Linked DNA regions of Macaca mulatta. The protein of the gene in region 1 purifies or fractionates together with the protein of each later gene. This does not show direct contact. Links are inferred from orthologs where the notes say so. Each region holds a gene or a part of one and is shown on either strand. Other genes may lie near its edges.

The links. Proteins that work in one complex are often made in the same cells at the same time.
Region 2: the proteins of POLR1C (region 1) and POLR3C purify together in Homo sapiens (affinity purification with mass spectrometry; 5 studies listed by BioGRID and IntAct, counting the BioPlex papers as one, with this or other methods). This does not show direct contact. The link is inferred for Macaca mulatta from reciprocal best matches to the Homo sapiens genes POLR1C and POLR3C.
Region 3: the proteins of POLR1C (region 1) and POLR3H purify together in Homo sapiens (affinity purification with mass spectrometry; 5 studies listed by BioGRID and IntAct, counting the BioPlex papers as one, with this or other methods). This does not show direct contact. The link is inferred for Macaca mulatta from reciprocal best matches to the Homo sapiens genes POLR1C and POLR3H.
Region 4: the proteins of POLR1C (region 1) and POLR1F purify together in Homo sapiens (affinity purification with mass spectrometry; 3 studies listed by BioGRID and IntAct, counting the BioPlex papers as one, with this or other methods). This does not show direct contact. The link is inferred for Macaca mulatta from reciprocal best matches to the Homo sapiens genes POLR1C and POLR1F.

Annotation. Positions count from the first base shown.
Region 1 is NC_133409.1:138,597,048-138,600,607, forward strand, and holds part of POLR1C (DNA-directed RNA polymerases I and III subunit RPAC1), read right to left. Parts: intron 3,196-3,560; coding exon 3,076-3,195; intron 2,987-3,075; coding exon 2,834-2,986; intron 2,637-2,833; coding exon 2,487-2,636; intron 2,330-2,486; coding exon 2,213-2,329; intron 2,075-2,212; coding exon of another isoform or gene 1,956-2,074; exon of another isoform or gene 1,739-1,955; intron 917-1,738; exon of another isoform or gene 1-916. UniProt on the Homo sapiens protein: DNA-dependent RNA polymerase catalyzes the transcription of DNA into RNA using the four ribonucleoside triphosphates as substrates.
Region 2 is NC_133406.1:119,471,957-119,476,288, forward strand, and holds the start of POLR3C (DNA-directed RNA polymerase III subunit RPC3), read right to left. Parts: upstream 2,853-4,332; 5' UTR 2,164-2,852; intron 1,312-2,163; 5' UTR 1,292-1,311; coding exon 1,145-1,291; intron 301-1,144; coding exon 45-300; intron 1-44. Other genes in the region: E3 ubiquitin-protein ligase RNF115, read left to right, coding at 3,171-3,272. UniProt on the Homo sapiens protein: DNA-dependent RNA polymerase catalyzes the transcription of DNA into RNA using the four ribonucleoside triphosphates as substrates.
Region 3 is NC_133415.1:9,959,056-9,963,170, forward strand, and holds the start of POLR3H (DNA-directed RNA polymerase III subunit RPC8), read left to right. Parts: upstream 1-1,263; 5' UTR 1,264-1,381; intron 1,382-1,501; exon of another isoform or gene 1,502-1,655; 5' UTR 1,656-1,675; coding exon 1,676-1,786; intron 1,787-4,115.
Region 4 is NC_133408.1:108,567,202-108,571,355, reverse strand, and holds the start of POLR1F (DNA-directed RNA polymerase I subunit RPA43), read right to left. Parts: upstream 2,853-4,154; 5' UTR 2,832-2,852; coding exon 2,578-2,831; intron 1-2,577. UniProt on the Homo sapiens protein: Component of RNA polymerase I (Pol I), a DNA-dependent RNA polymerase which synthesizes ribosomal RNA precursors using the four ribonucleoside triphosphates as substrates.

The DNA of each region.
Region 1 (3,560 bases):
GCACAGTGTCAAGTATAGTACCTCCAAGGACCAGGGCTGGGCAGTCTTTAGTGCTAACATCCCCTTTAGAGCTCACACATCTTGCCCTTCCATGAATGACCCCTCAGTTTGGCTTCCCCAGCCTCAAGGTCCACTCAGGCACAAGAGCCACAGTACCCTAGAGAGTGTCACATGACACCATTGTCATCCAAGGATAAAACAGACCAACTAGGCTATATCTGTGATAAGCAGCTAGCAAAGCCACTGGTCTTCTAGGACTAAGACCAGGTGCCTTCCGCAATCTCATGGTCTTTCAGGTCCCTGGTTACTTTTCTCAAAGACCATCTCCAAAAGAAAAGAATACATGCCTTCGCATCACAACCTGTACTGTGAGTCCATTCTAGAGGTCACTGAAAGGCCCTATAAACAGGACTCGGATATGGGACCTGGCCCTGACATTATTACTGGCCATAAAGGCAGACTTAATCCATACAGAAACCAGTGTGTCCATGTGCTCTGCACAAAAACAGACCTGTTGTCCACCAATCCACTGACAAGAGGGTTTCCATGAGAGCCGAAGTGGACTGAAGCTATAGTTTTTAGCTGGTGTGGGCCAGAGGCAGGGTCAGATTGGGAAGAGGCAAAGCTGAGGAAGCAGAAGTTGGAGTCTCATGTTGCTCCCTCTTCCCGTGTGGTGCTCTGGGTTCCTGTGGATTGTGAAGGCGATCTCAAGAGTGTTTCCCTCCAAACCTGATAGCTGCCTATTCCTGTCTGGTTGGGGCTGTGGAGGGTGTAGTTGTATTTATTGTGTTGTAATATTTTTAACATCCTGTGACTTCATGCTAGAAGTTTTCTATTGTTTATAGAAACTTTTTGTAGAAACATTAACTCCAAAGCACATCTGCATGTCAGTAAAAGTCTCAGTTTCATACAGAAAGGGACCCATCTGCCTTTTTCAACCTAGTCTTAAAACCAGTGACATACTCCAGAGTTACTCCATGAGCACCCTGCAAAAGGGGACTGAACAGGAAGAAATGTGACTGATGAACCTGGTCTTTCAAGCTTTCTGAAATGGTGTGCCAGTTAGAAAAGGATTTCTATCCTGACACACCCAGACTAGGCAGCCCATACCATTCTCACAGTGTCTTTCATATGTGGCTGCTGGGCCTGGCCCAAAGGAATTGCTACTGTTCTTTGTTGGAGCTGTCAATAGCGGCATGAACTTCCCTGGTAATCCGGGAGACAGGTGAAATGGTGCATTCACTCTAGCTTGAATGTTTTTCTAGGGGTTTGGCTGTACTCCCAGAAACCACCTTAATTTGCCAATTCTCAGGAGGTGTTTTTTGTTGTTTTTGAGACAGGGTCTCACTGTTACCCAGGCTGGAGTGTACATCTGATGTTCTTAATTGCTAAAGGTCAAACCAGTTCTGAAGTGAGGCCCTGTTTTTCGCAGTGGCTCACACCTGTAATCCCAACACTTTGGGAGGCCCCAAGGCAGACAGATCACTTGAGGTCAGGAGTTTGAGACCAGTCTGACCAATATGGTGAAACCCTCTCTCTACTAAAAATACAAAAAATTACACATAGCCAGGCGTGGTGGTACACACCTGTAGTCCCAGCTACTCAGGAGGCTGAGGCAAGAGAATTGCTTGAACCCAGGAGGAGGAGGTTGCAGTGAGCAGAGATTGCACCATTGCACTCCAGCCTGGGCAACAGAGTGAGACTCTGTCTCAAAAAATATAAAAGTTGTCTCAAAAAGTTTTGTTTGGACATGAGTTTATTTACATCTAAGGCCTTACAAAGGCCTAAAAGTCTCATTTTATGGCACATTTAACAAAATGTATTGATTAAAAATAAAGCTGGAATTGTCCCAGAAAACTCAGGATCCCTAGTCACACTGGGCTCTCTGTACAGCAGTCCTGTAGGGTGGGTCAGTCAGAACCCAAAGCTTCAGCTTGCCTCAGGAACATCCAAGCTCAGTCCATCTGAACCGCATCTAGTTCATCCAAGAAGCGCCGGCACTTCCCCATCAGTACTTTGATGGCTTCACTCACCAGCACATCTGGTGGCAACACCCCCGTTGACTCAACAGAGACTGGGGATCAAAGAGACACTTTAGCCTAGGCGGGGCTTGCCTGTAGAAAGCCCCTGTTACTCAAACTTCACATCTAGACTGGAAGGAAGCTGCAGCACCAAAGAGTACTGCCCACTCATCTCACCACTTCATACTCACAGATATAATGATCTCGAACCCGGGCAAGCCTCACAACCTTCTTTAGCTTCTCATGCCGGAAGATTTCTCTGCTGAAGGTATCCAGCCGGGGGTTGGCAACTCTGGCCACCTTTTTACCTAATGAGAACAAACCACGTTTTTTTATTCTTTTTTCTAATTTGCCCCTTGGTAGCAAACCATGTTATACTTTTAGGAACCCAGGGTTTTTATTTCTGTCACCTTCAAAGAAAATATAATTTAGGTCCTAACCTGAACAGCACCCCAAATACCATACCTTGGACTTCCTGCACCTCAATAACACCAGGTGAGAAGCACCTGCTCAACTCCTCAGCTGCCTCCCCTTCCACGGGCTCAAGCAGGGTGATGTCTGGCAGGAGCCTATAACTGGCTGTTGCCACTGGTGAAAACTTGGCATGATCTTTGCCTGGAGAGGAAGAGAGAAAGTGCCTATACGAAACCCTTCTAGGATTAGGAAGAATACTCTTCCTAAGCTGCTAACAGCAAAAGCACGATGCTCTTGGCTTTCTACCTGCTAGGAATATCTCAGCTGAGTTCCCTAGTCAGCTTGCCCCACTGCAACCAAACTACCCCTCTTCCCAGGAAGGAACACAGGGTTCTCACCAATGCCCTTGACACAGTGCATAAGCAGGTCAATTTCTTGGCCAGGCCGCAGCTGAGCAATGAGGATGTCATCGTGCACTGGTCGGATAGTGCCCTCTGGGAAAAGATCAGCCTGATTCCCCAGGGGGATCCATGTCATATGCCTGGTATACACTGGAGGAAAAACATGTCAAAAGATTTCAGTTCCTAAAACTAGCAGCCACCCACAGGTGGGGCCTCTTCCTCACCCTACCACTACTTACCTTTGTGGTTCACATACAGTTCGTTGGGGTCAGAGGAATCTTTAGCAGCATGGGGGTTCCGAGTGCATCTGACTTGGAGACGAAACCGTAGGGTATCTATCTCTGTGCCGTCTTCATCTCCTGCACAAATGGAGGGAGCTCTTAAGAACTAGTAAACATCTGGCCGGGCGCGGTGGCTCAAGCCTGTAATCCCAGCACTTTGGGAGGCCGAGACGGGCGGATCACGAGGTCAGGAGTTCGAGACCATCCTGGCTAACACCGTGAAACCCCGTCTCTACTAAAAAATACAAAAACTAGCCGGGCGAGGTGGCGGGCGCCTGTAGTCCCGGCTACTCGGGAGGCTGAGGCAGGAGAATGGCGTAAAAACCCGGGAGGCAGAGCTTGCAGTGAGCTGAGATCCGGCCACTGCACTCCAGCCTGGGCGACACAGCGAGACTCCGTCTCAAAAAAAAAAAAAAAGAAAAAAAAAAAAAGAACTAGTAAAC
Region 2 (4,332 bases), on another chromosome or scaffold:
AGCTGATCTATGCTTCTGTTAACAACTATGGATACAGTACTAACCCTCCATGGTCTCTGTGAGCCGGTCTGCCACTTTCTTCACAACAGCTGACATTGTCAGTTTGCCATTCAACAGAAGCTCCTCAACGATCAGTTCTCCAGTGTCACTGTACAGAGTTTTGGTAGTATAGATGTACCGGGGATATCTAAGCATTCGCAATACCCGGCTGCACTGGGCTTCATACTCCACCACACCACGTTTGTGCACTTGGTAACTCACCAGGTTATGCTGGATGAGGACACACAGGGCTTTTTTCACCTAGATGGGACATAAAGAGAAGAGAGGAAAGACCTGAAGATATAGCTCATTACTGCTGGAAATTTTTTGTCCAACAACTTACTAAGCATCAGAAAATGGCTAGATAATTTCTGCACTTATTTTCTCTCCATTGGAGTAGCTAATAAGAATCAGACATCAATACAATAAATCAGGAAGATTCCTTGCTATATTTACTCTGATCCTTATCTTTCTTTTTTTTTTTTTTTTTTTTTTTGAGACGGAGTCTTGCTCTGTCGCCCAGGCTGGAGTGCAGTGGCCAGATCTCAGCTCACTGCAAGCTCCGCCTCCCGGGTTCCCGCCATTCTCCTGCCTCAGCCTCCCGAGTAGCTGGGACCACAGGCGCCGCCACCTCGCCCGGCTAATTTTTTGTGTTTTTTTTTTTAGTAGAGACGGGGTTTCGCCGTGTTAGCCAGGATGGTCTCGATCTCCTGACCTTGTGATCCGCCCGTCTCGGCCTCCCAAAGTGCTGGGATTACAGGCTTGAGCCACCGCGCCCGGCCTGATCCTTATCTTTCAAAACACAATTTACTTTCATCATTCTCATTCCTTAAAGGCAGTACTGAGATTAAAAGACCTATTGTGAATAAACGAGGTATGGCATGGGAAGAGCAAAGATTTGCCTAAAAGCTGTCATGAACTAGGAACACTTTGAGAAACAAAATGTTGATGCCTAAGTCCCATCCTTTTCTTCCCCAAATAACATTGTTCTGCTCCCAGGGCAGGTTTTCTTCATTTTTCCCTTTCTGGGGTGAGAAGAACAATATTCAAAGATGGGTGAGATAAATTAGTGAAATGACAGAAAATTAATGTCATTTAGACATACCTGATCCAGTGATGTTCCTGTGTCATGAGCAATTACTCTTAGTGGCTGGCTGCCGGTTCTTATCAGATGGACTCCAATTTTTTCTACAATCTCTCCAAAATGCTCTTGCAGCAACAAAGAACAGAGCTTAATTTCTGCTTGAGTCATGGTACTGGGGAGTCTGAGAGCTAGGGAAAAAACACCAAAACGGTACAATGGAAAGTCTTTCATGCTGGAAGCAGAGCTGCTGAGTGTAAATTCATGTATTCTTTCTGGAGGGCAATTTGACAATACATATCAAAAAGCCTTAAAAATCTTGCATATGTTTGAAACAACAATTTCTTTTTGGATATTGTATCCAAGGAAAGAATAAAAAGCTAATAATAATGAAGTCATTAGTTCTCTCTATAATACAGACTTACTGGAAGCAATCTGACGTCTAACAATAAATGATGGCATACCCATACAATGGCATACTATGCCAACAAAGTTATTTAGTACCATGTGTATTCGTGTAGAAGAAAATTATTCATAATAGGCTGGCGCTGTGGCTCATGCCTGCAATCCCAGCACTTTGGGAGGCCGAGGTGGGCGTATCACAAGGTCAGGAGTTTGAGAACAGCCTGGCCAACATAGTGAACCCCTTCTATACTAAAAATACAAAAAAAATTTAGCTTGGCGTGGTGGCGGGCGCCTGTAATCCCAGCTACTTGGGAGGCTGAGGCAGGAGAATCGCTTGAAGTGAGGAGACGGAGGTTGCAGTGAGCTGAGATCGCGCCACTGCACTCCAACCCGGGCAACAGTGCGAGACTCTGTCTCCAAAAAAAAAAAAAAAACAAAAAAAAAGCAAAAAGAGGAAAATTATTCATAATATATTAAGTGACAGAAGCTGAAAAAATATAAAGATTCAATTATTGTAAAAAAAGGAAAAATGTATGCATAGAAAAAGACTGTGCATCAAATATACCTCTATGGGATTATGCATGATTCTGATTTTCTTTAAAGATTGGGAGTAGATGATTTTGCAGTCTGTCACAGACCTTAGTTTCTACACTTCATTGCTTGGAAGAATTAAGGTCACTGTTCACAGCCCGGTGGAAGTGAGCAGGCAGTGTTATTCTTAGTTCATAAAGGAAATGATAATTTCGAAAAAGAAATTTAGGCGGTAAAGGACTGCTTCTCAACAGGGCGTGTCAAATAGGAGATGAGGTTACGTTGTTTGCAGGACAGCATTCAATTCTTAAACTTCTACTCCTTGATAAAGTTGACACAATCAGAAACGGACGTAGTTTATTATACGATTACTTCCTTATTACAAATTGCTACCAAACATTACTTATTTCTTCCAATTCGTAAGAAGCCTTAGTATCACCAGAGACCTATTTCGTCCATCCGCGTATCTTTGGAGAAGCATTCCCAGATCCCTTGCCATCCTCGGAAAGGACTTACAAGACGCTTGGCTCCTAGCTCTACACTCCCTTTACACAGGTTCTCATTCCGGATTTGGTCTCTTGGTCCAGTCAGTGCTGCCACGTTCAGACAGCATTTTCCACTAACCTCAGGATCAGCGCAGTTCAGAGGCACCAACCCCAATGCTGCTGAACTTCCCGCGACGGCTTCCTGCGGCTCCCGCTGGCCTTCTGAGCGGAAGTGGAGCCCACCGCCCTTTCAAGGAAGAGGACGGCCACCGAAGAGGACGCGGAAAGGCAAAAAGCGCGTGCCGCTCTACGCTAGAGTTTCGGCGGCTTCCGGGGACGCTCTTTCTTTCTTCTCGCTGGAAGGCTGGAGGACCAGCGAGGGGCTGTTTGTGGAGCCGGCGGGCGGGAGGTTTGCCTTTCCTTCCTGCGCCTATTTGGTGCTGGGAGGCGGGCCGCAGGGTTGCTGTTGGCGCCGCCGCCTCTCTGGGTCTGGCCGACTCACGTGACCGACGCGGGCTCTGAAGCGGTGGGCCGCACCGAGGCGGCGGTGGCTACTGCAGCCCGGGAGGTAGCGGCCTGGCGAGGGACGGGCCGGCTGCCTTCTCGGACGGCCGCGGCGGAGGACAAAAATGGCGGAGGCTTCGGCGGCCGGGGCGGACTCGGGCGCCGCTGTAGCCGCCCACCGGTTTTTCTGCCACTTTTGCAAGGGCGAGGTCAGCCCCAAACTACCGGTAAGAGCCCCGTGTTCTCTGTACTTGGGAACCTCATAGATTCCTGGCTCTGATGTCCCGGAACTGGGTTTGGAGCTTTCCGCACACCCTTGACTCCCAGGACATCGGTCTGCCGAATACCTGCTGCCCACTTCTCCAGCCACTGGCCCTAGACCCTGGGCGTCACGGCTCCGGCCCCGTACCTCCTGCCCACCTCTTAATTCATCGTGGGCTGCTTCACCTGATCTCACCTCTTTACCTCTCCTGTCCTTATTATTATTATTTTTTTCTTAGCAAGTTTCCCTCTGATAACTCTCCCCTCAATTTTCTTGCATTCTTTTATACCTGGTCTTTTCCCCACGATGACCTCCCCCCATACTCCTTCCGCTGTGTCTTCTCACCTTCCTCTACGTTCTTTTCCACTTTTCACTCCCCCCGCCCCCGCCACCTCCCTTGTCAGTGAAGCAAAATAGCGGATTGCTGAGGATTGTCCCTATTCGGTTTTCTCTGGGGAAGGAAGGAAGCACAGAAAGGGGGTTGGATGGTATCTGTGAGGCGAAAAGGAGGATTTTGCTCTTCAGAGGTTTCCAGGGTCCTTGTGAAAGTGAAAATAGCAGCGTACTAATGACTTGCAGACAGCCTGCACTCCTATCACTATTGAAGGAAATGGCTTTAGGAAGAAGGCAGGACGTACTGTTTCAACTTCGTTTATTTTGGTTGTCATGTTGCTAGTGTCTTTAATACCATTGTTCCGCCCCCCACCCTGTCCCTTTCTTCACTTAAGAAAAAGAGCCGGGATAGAATGTTGGGGTTGCTACCTCCGACATGAAATTGGTTTTCACGAGTTTCTGCCAGACTGTTAGCTCCTTGAGAGGCAGTGCTGTGGTTGTGAAAAAAGCACTTTTGTAGGTCAGGCGCGGTGGCTCAGGTCTGTAATCCCAGTACTTTGGGAGGACGAGGCAGGAGGATTGCTTGAGGCCAGGAGTTTGAGACCAGCCTGGGCAACACAGTGAGACTCCTCTCTACAAAAAACAAACAACACTTACGCAGCTTATTAGCCAGCACCAGCATCACAAACCCA
Region 3 (4,115 bases), on another chromosome or scaffold:
GTATACATCTACACTTCACCAGTTTTTAAAGGCAGGGTAGTGAGGTTCAGACTGGGCCCATCTCTACCACTTGTCAACACATGATCTTGGGCAAGTTACCAAATTCTTTTAGCCCATGCTAACTATCACGTGAAGACGAATGAGACTGGAATGTTGGGGAGAGAGAGCATGATGGGGCTATAGGAGGGGGTATGATCAGATCCTGCAAGGCCATGTGAACTACCATAAAGGTTTTGGACTTTTCTTCTTTCTTTCTGCTTTTCTCTTTCTTCTTTCTCTTCTTTCTCTTCTTTTCCTTCTTCTCCTTCTCCTTCTTCTCTTTCGTTTAGAGATGGGGTGTCACTGTCACCCATGCCAGAGTGCAGTGGCATGATTGTAGATCACTGGACTACAGGTGTGCACCGCCACCCCTGGCTTGGATTTAGTATTCTAAGTTCAATGGGTTGTACTTTTTGTTCCAATTTATTATCACTTTTCTTTTTATTTTATTTTATTTTTTTTGAGACGGAGTCTCGCTCTGTCGCCCAGGCTGGAGTGCAGTGGCCGGATCTCAGCTCACTGCAAGCTCCGCCTCCCGGGTTCACGCCATTCTCCTGCCTCAGCCTCCCGAGTATCCGGGACTACAGGCGCCTGCCACCGCGCCCGGCTAGTTTTTTGTATATTTTTAGTAGAGACGGGGTTTCACCATGTTAGCCAGGATGGTCTCGATCTCCTGACCTTGTGATCCGCCCGTCTCGGCCTCCCAAAGTGCAGGGATTACAGGCTTGAGCCACCGCGCCCGGCCTATTATCACTTTTCAATTGGGATATAATGTCTACAAATAAATGCAAAAATCTTGCCCTGAGTTCAATTAGTTTGGACACTTGTATACGTCAATGTTATACCACCGAAAAGAATATACAGAACATTTCCATCATCGCAGAAAAGTCCCAACTGTTCCTTTCCTGTCAATTCTCCTTGTCTCCGGAACACTTAAGGGTGCTAAGCATATTATGTTTGCGGTGGTTTTTTTTTTTTTTTTTAACTTAGAAGATGTGGTAATATATGTTTGCGTTCCCAAAGGATCACTCTGCTGCTGTGCGGAGGACAGCAAGGCGGGTAAAGCACAGGCCAGGCGAGGGATAATCAGGCAGTATTGCACGGAGGTCGCCTAGCAACCAGAAAGCGCCGTCGGGAGCTGGGAAAACGCTCTGCTCCTGTGAAAGGAGGAGGCCCCGCCCCCCCCCGCCCTCTCTCCGCCCCACGCAGTGCGCGGGTACACGCTCTGTGCGCCTCGGACGGACAGAGGCTTCTTATTGGTGGGTTTTCCGGAAGCGATGGATTCGGAATCTCGCCCGCAGCCACGCAAAACCGAGCGGCTGTGTGCGGTGCGTGGTGCGCGGTACGTGCGGCGGCACGTGGCGCGGGTGCGGGGCGTGGCGTGGCGGGGTCGCGCGGCGCGGGCGCGCACCCGGAGCTCTGAACAGAGAGCGCCTCCTTCTGGCCTCGGTTTCCTCCCGTTGTAGTAGCGGAGCATGGCCCGGACCGGGCACCCGAGACCGCCCCGTGCAGCCTCACTGCCAGCCTGGGGGCCTCAGCGACCGCGACGGGACCAAGGGGCTCGGGGATCCTCTCCGCCCCCGGCCCTGGTGCTTGACTGACCCTCCCGTTCCCAGAGCCCCCAGCGCAGACCGGGATGTTTGTCCTGGTGGAGATGGTGGACACGGTGCGGATCCCCCCTTGGCAGTTTGAGAGGAAGCTCAACGACTCCATTGCCGAGGAGCTGAACAAGAAGTTGGCCAACAAGGTACTGGGCCCACGGCTCGCGGGCAGGCCTTGGCGCGGGAGAGCCAGCGCCGCCCACCGGCCGCAGGCCTGGCCTCCGTCATGCCAAGCCCTGGCCGTGGGCAAGCGGCTTAATGTCTCAGAACTTCTGTTCACCGTGAAACAGGATGTTGAAGGGGATCAAAAGAAAATGGGCTTAAAAAAGGGAGTTGTAACTGGAAGTGTCAGACTCTACAATTCTAAATTACTTTGCAATTGCAAGCAAGTTAACCCCTCTGGGCCTCAGTTTCCATTTGTAAAATGGGGATAAAATGTTGCTGTCCTTCCAGCCATGCATTGGTTTTTTGTTGTTTTTGTTTTGTTTCGTTTCGTTTTTTTTTTTTTTTTCTTTCCCCGAGACGGAGTCTTGCTCTGTCGCCCAGGCTGGAGTGCAGTGGCGCAATCTCGGCTCACTGCAAACCTCCGCCTCCTGGGTTCAAGCAATTCTCCTGCCTCAGCCTCCCGAGTAGCTAGGACGACTACAGGCACGCGCCTCCATGCCCAGCTAATTTTTGTATTTGTATTTGTATTTAGTTTTATTTTTATTATTTACTTATTTATTTGAGATGGAGTCTCGCTCTGTCGCCCAGGCTGGAGTGCAGTGGCGCGATCTCGGAACACTGCAAGCTCTGCCTCATGGATTCACGCCATTCTCCTGCCTCAGCCTCCCAAGTAGCTGGGGCTACAGGGGCCCGCCACCACGCCCGGCTAATTTTTTTTGGATTTTTAGTAGAGACGGGGTTTCACCATGTTAGCCTGGTTGGTCTCGATCTCCTGACCTCGTGATCCGCCGCCTCGGCCTCCCAAAGTGCTGGGATTACAGACGTGAGCCACCGTGCCCGGCCAATTTTTGTATTTTTAGTAGAGACGGGGTTTCTCCATGTGGCCAGGATGGTCTCGATCTCTTGATCTCCCCACCTTGGCCTCCCAAAGTGCTGGGATTACAAGCGTGAGCCACCGCTCTGGGCCAGTGCATTGTTTTTGTGAAGATGAACAGTTCTAGTAGTACAGAGTTAACTGTCAGGAGGTTCATCCCTTCATTCTAGCAGCCAATATTTGTGCGCCATCTCTGCGCCGTGCCTATGTGCCTTAGTGCCAGCTGAGAGGTCCTCCCACTGCCATTTCTCTGGCAGTCCTCCCTTTCCAGGTGTTCTGTGTCGCATCAGTCTTTCCATCTTAGACTTTTTCCTTTCCCTCTCTTTGAGAGCAGGGACTTATCTGTCTTCTTCCCTGAAGTATCCCCTCACTTAGCCAGAGCCTGGCACCAGTAGATGTTCCATAATTTTATGTTTTTTTGTTTGTTTGTTTGTTTGTTTGTTATTTAAACAGAGTCCCGCTCTTGTCGCCCAGGCTGGGGTGCAGTGGTGCAATCTTGGCTCACTGCAACCTCCACCTCCTGGGTTCAAGCTATTCTTCTGCCTCAGCCTCTTGAGTAGCTGGGATTACAGGTGCCTTCCACCACGCCCGGCTAATTTTTGTACTTTTAGTAGAGACAGGGTTTCGCCATGTTGGCCAGGCTGGTCTCAAACTCCTGACCTCAGGTGATCTGCCTGCCTCAGCCTCCCATAGTGCTGGGATTACAGGCGTGAGCCACTGCGCCCAGCCATTTGTCTGTTGAATGAAACAGAGGCAAGGCTCTGAGCTATAGTGTGCTGGGAAAAGCAGATATGAATGAGAGGGGTCCATAGTTGAGGGTGTGGTGACAAATTGAGGTAAATGCTATGAGGGACAGATGTTCACACACCTGTGGGAACAAAGGACCATCCCCTGGAATGAGGGAACCTGCGGCTTTGGTGAGGAGGTGGGGTTGGAACTGAGATCTGATGGTGAAGTAGAGCCAACCAGAGGATTCCTTTCTGGGGTGGGAGGGGCTGGGTGGAGAGAAGAGCCCTGAAGGCAGGAACTGGCATGTGCACAGGCCCTGTGAAGAAGGAATACAGACAGGGCATGGTGGCTCACACCTGTAATCCCAACACTTTGAGAGGTTGAGGCTGGTGGATCACCCGAGGTCAGGAGTTCGAGACCAGCTTGTCCAACATGGTGAAACCCCATCTCTACTAAAAATACAAAAAGTAGCTGTAGCTGGGCATGGTGGCGGGCGCCTGTAATCCCAGCTACTTGAGAGGCAGAGGGAGGAGAATCACTTGAACCCAGGAGGCGGAGGTTGCAGTGAACTGAAATCGTGCCATTGCCCTCCAGCCTGGGTGACAAGAGTGAAACTTTGCCTCAAAAAAAAAAAAAAAAAAAAGAAGAAGAAAGAAGAAGGGGTACAACACCCACCATGGTGTGGAAGAGGCTGGTGTGGCTTGGGC
Region 4 (4,154 bases), on another chromosome or scaffold:
AATAAACTTTAAGAACTACCAAATTAGGAAAATCCTAACTCAGAGACTTACTCGGGAAAGCAATCTTCTGAGGTTTTCATTTCTGCATGTGGCATTCCTAAGCTGGAATCATCCTATCACTAAGACAATGTTAGGGACACAGAAAACAGAGTCAGAGAATAGGAAGAAAAATTAACTGCCATACTAGACAGAAAAACAAATATTAAGACTTTATTTCTCCTAATCAAAGCCGTGTCTGGAAGGAGGTCTGTGGTCCCCTGGTGGGAGGGGGGACATTTGGAAATTTGTGATACTAATCATGGTTATCACAAACTTTGCACAAGCCAGGGCAGAAAAGAGTCTGTCATGTACAGGACAGTCGGTACAATGAGGAAATATCCTTAGCTCTGACTTTTGAATAAAAGGACAAATCTGTTTACAAATAGCTAGGAACCTAATTTAACTCTTAACATCAACACACAGCCATCTTTGCATATTTTTAATCTATATTAAATTGTTCAGGAATTTAGCAATATATAAATTCAAGGGGGATTTTGTTAAGAGTCATCAGATATGTGAACACAGGCACCCAACACTATATACTTTTTCTTCTTCACTTTTGTTTTTCAGATACCATCCTAAATAGGTATCAGGGCAAGATGGTAGCCTCACTTTAGTTCTTTAATACTGTATGTTCAATGTTTTGTCCCTCATTAGTAATGCATAGTTCAAAGTGTGGTGCCTGATTTTCACCTGGTGCATAATTTCACCAGGGGTCTTCAGCATATCCAAGTAATATGAAAGGAGTGGTGGCCAGATCTGTTCAGAGTCACTCCGCGAGATTTCGTTATTTCCCGCCCTAGCCTGTCAAATGCAGGCAATACAAAACGGTTACAGAAAACAGGATGGTTGCTTGTGTTTCCAGATGTTATGACTACTTTGTATATCCTTTAATCTCTCAAATCCATCCTCTCTAATCATTTTCTCTTGAACAATTATAACATGATCTTAATTCCTCTCCTTGTCCACTTTCTCATCCTATTTGGTAGCTAACCATTAAGTAAGGCTAACAAGTACTGTTTCTTAAACTGCAAATCTGATATGCCAGGAACTGCAGATAAGTACTGCGTTCTCAAAAGTGTACCAAGTCTCAGAGTTAAAGGGTACTGAGAGGATGAAGCACTAACCCTGCCTATGAAAACAGAAACACAAAAGGAAAAACAACAACAACCCCACCTTACCCCCAAAAGAACAAAAACTGGCAATGACAGGAAGGGAAAAGCAAAATGGCCATCCTCTCTGAGTCACCCCTGCCCTCGTCTCCAATGGCATCCAATGCCTTTCCCCTGACATAAACCTTATTCTACTTATATAATAGATACGGTTCTCTGGGCAAAGCATACCGGTTCACATCCAGTATCCGTTTGTTTATGCCACTCTTTGCCTGGAATGCTACCATGGGAAAGTACCGTCTTCACTCAAGTTGTTCTCAGAGGTCCCAAGATCCCAATTCAACACTCCTTATCTTGTTAGATTTCTGTCAAATTTTAACACCTTACTATTTATTGGCTTGTATTTGTATCTCTACTACAGCTTAAAGCTCCTTGAAAGAGGGATTTCATTTTTTGTTTGTTTTTGTATCTCAAGTGTTCGGTATATAATATAAACATACGAGAAGTGTATATTGGTGCTTGGAAGAAGCTGTATATTCTGGAGATGCTTGATTATTAACCTGTGTGTGGAGGTCAAGGATCCCTTAAGAAAGTGATAAAAGCTTCCGATACAGTGCCCAAGGAACTTCACATAAGAATTCCTGAAGGGCAGTCATGAATCCCTAAAGAATCCATTCACTCTAGTATTAGAACCTCGCTTTTGAACCAAAGTATAGTCCAGAGGAATACTGAAGCACATGCCCGCGCCCCCCGCCACACACCTCTGTAATTCTGTTTTCAAGGCACTTCTGAATACCGTAATATAAATGCATACCTTTTGTTTTTTTCTCTCCCAAAAGCAACAGGCTCATTAGTTCGATTGAATAAATCGTCTTAAAAACAACTCAGGTCCAAAAGAAGAGAAAATGGGGAAATTACCAGATTGAAATACAGTAAGAAAAAAACGTGCTTCACGTTTTACAGGTAGAACGGTTGTACTAATGCTTCATGTGCAATCTTCGATGGAATGAGAATCTACTTAAGCACTGCAAACCAAATTTTTATCGTCAAATGAGAAAACATCATCCGGAACGGGATAAATGAAACGTTGAATGCCAAACAGAACTGGGCCTACTAGGTCTCCAGACCCCTGGTCTGTTCCTACCCCTACACCAGGATTCTGGAGCGAGAATCTCCACTCCTTCCGCCGACACCTGAACTTCATCTTTAAGTTTTCTTCTCTATCTATGAAAGGGACCCTATAAAGATCTTCACCACAGTGGTACTGGCCTTGAGGGGCGGATCGCGACTCTAGAATTCCACGGGGCTAAGCTCTGGGGGGGCAATGCGACCTTTACTATTTGCCCCCTTTCTGCTGCGTTGTCAGCATATCTACCTGCTGCTACTTCCCGTGCACAAAAGAAGGAACAGGCAAAGAGATCGGTACCTCTCAGAATAGCGAAGGAGCTCCGCATCAAGCTGTTCTCGAATGCCAGTGCGTTTCCTGTTCAGGTAGCGGGGAGACAGCGCGATGTGCCTTTGGTGCGGCCCAGCCACCAGGCATGAGTAGCGACTGTTCACCAGCGCACAAGCAGCGGCATAAGTCGGCAACTCTAGGCAAGGCAGGACGCCAGCCTGCCCTACCAGAGACCCATCAGAAGCCGCCGTTGGCCGCGGCACCTCTGAACAACCCGCAGCCATGCCGCTTGTCAAGGTTCCCACGGCGCGCGCCGTTGACGCAAGCACAATCGCCTGTCCCCGACGCTCTTTTTACGTCATCCACCAACTACCACGCCCCTAGGAATTTCTCCTCCTTACGCTGTATTACGCCGCTCTGGCCGGCAGGGGGAACCGTATTTTCGCGCTTCGAGGACGGGAGCTTAGAGCCTGGGATATGCATTGAGCATGCAGGAAAGTCAACTGTCTGCTCTTTTAAGGGCAGGCAAATATGTGTTTTCGTACAGAAGCTTATTGGATTAAGTAGGCAGCTTAAAAAGGGGGGTTTTCACTTTGATCATTTCCAGTAGTAAGGTGGTTTGGTAGAATTTTACAAGCTTGGACTGTACAATAAAAAATCAAAATATTTATGGAGTGTATTTTATGCAGGACACGAAATCCTAAGAAGCAGGCCTGATAACTCTAATGCAACATATCTTAAAACGAACCTACTAGTTCTCTCCTGTCCCACTTCTCTCCTCATTATGCACATGCTAAATCAGGGAATTATACCACAGCCAACCTGTCAGCCTCGGATCCTCTTTTGTTTTCCCAAATATTAAATCAGCCTGAAGGCCTGTATTGCCCAAAGTGGATATATCATTCTGTTTGGACACTATTCTCTTTCCCTGCCGACAAAACCACAGGACTCCCTGCCTGTGGAAGCCTAGCTCAATGGTCAGGAGGACGCCCTGGGGCAGCCAGATCTTCCCTGAAACACATATGATTGTGTTGTGCCCTGTTTAAGCCCTACATAGGCACCCCACTTTCTCTAGGACAACACAAACTCCTGAAAAATGCTTATACAAGGCCATTTTGTGATCTGTGTGGGCACGCAGCCTCTCTCTTCAGCTTCATTTGTCACACTCCCCACCCTAATATTATGCCCCTTGATCCACTTTCAGGTCACTCTTTCTGCAGTCTTATGCTGTTCCTTCTACCGGGAAATATAATATTTTCACAAGGGTAAATTCTCCTCACGTATCAATTTTTAGCTTAGATTTTACATTCTGTCCCTTTGCAAAGAGTTTTCAACCACCCCACACCTCTTTCTCTATAAGGATTAGGTAGTTACCCATGCATGTTTTTTAAATGTTAATTTTATATTAACTGCCATTTGCTTGCCTGTTCCGTCAATAGATTCCTACACTCACTAAAGTGGGGACCATAATATCTGTATTATTCACTACAGTAGCCCCCCACATCTCATCCCTCCTCCAAAGAAAACCAAGAAAAACGCAAACAATGCACTCTGAATGAATAACCTGATAGCGAGTTAATAAATAATAAGTGATAAAGAGCTTGCAG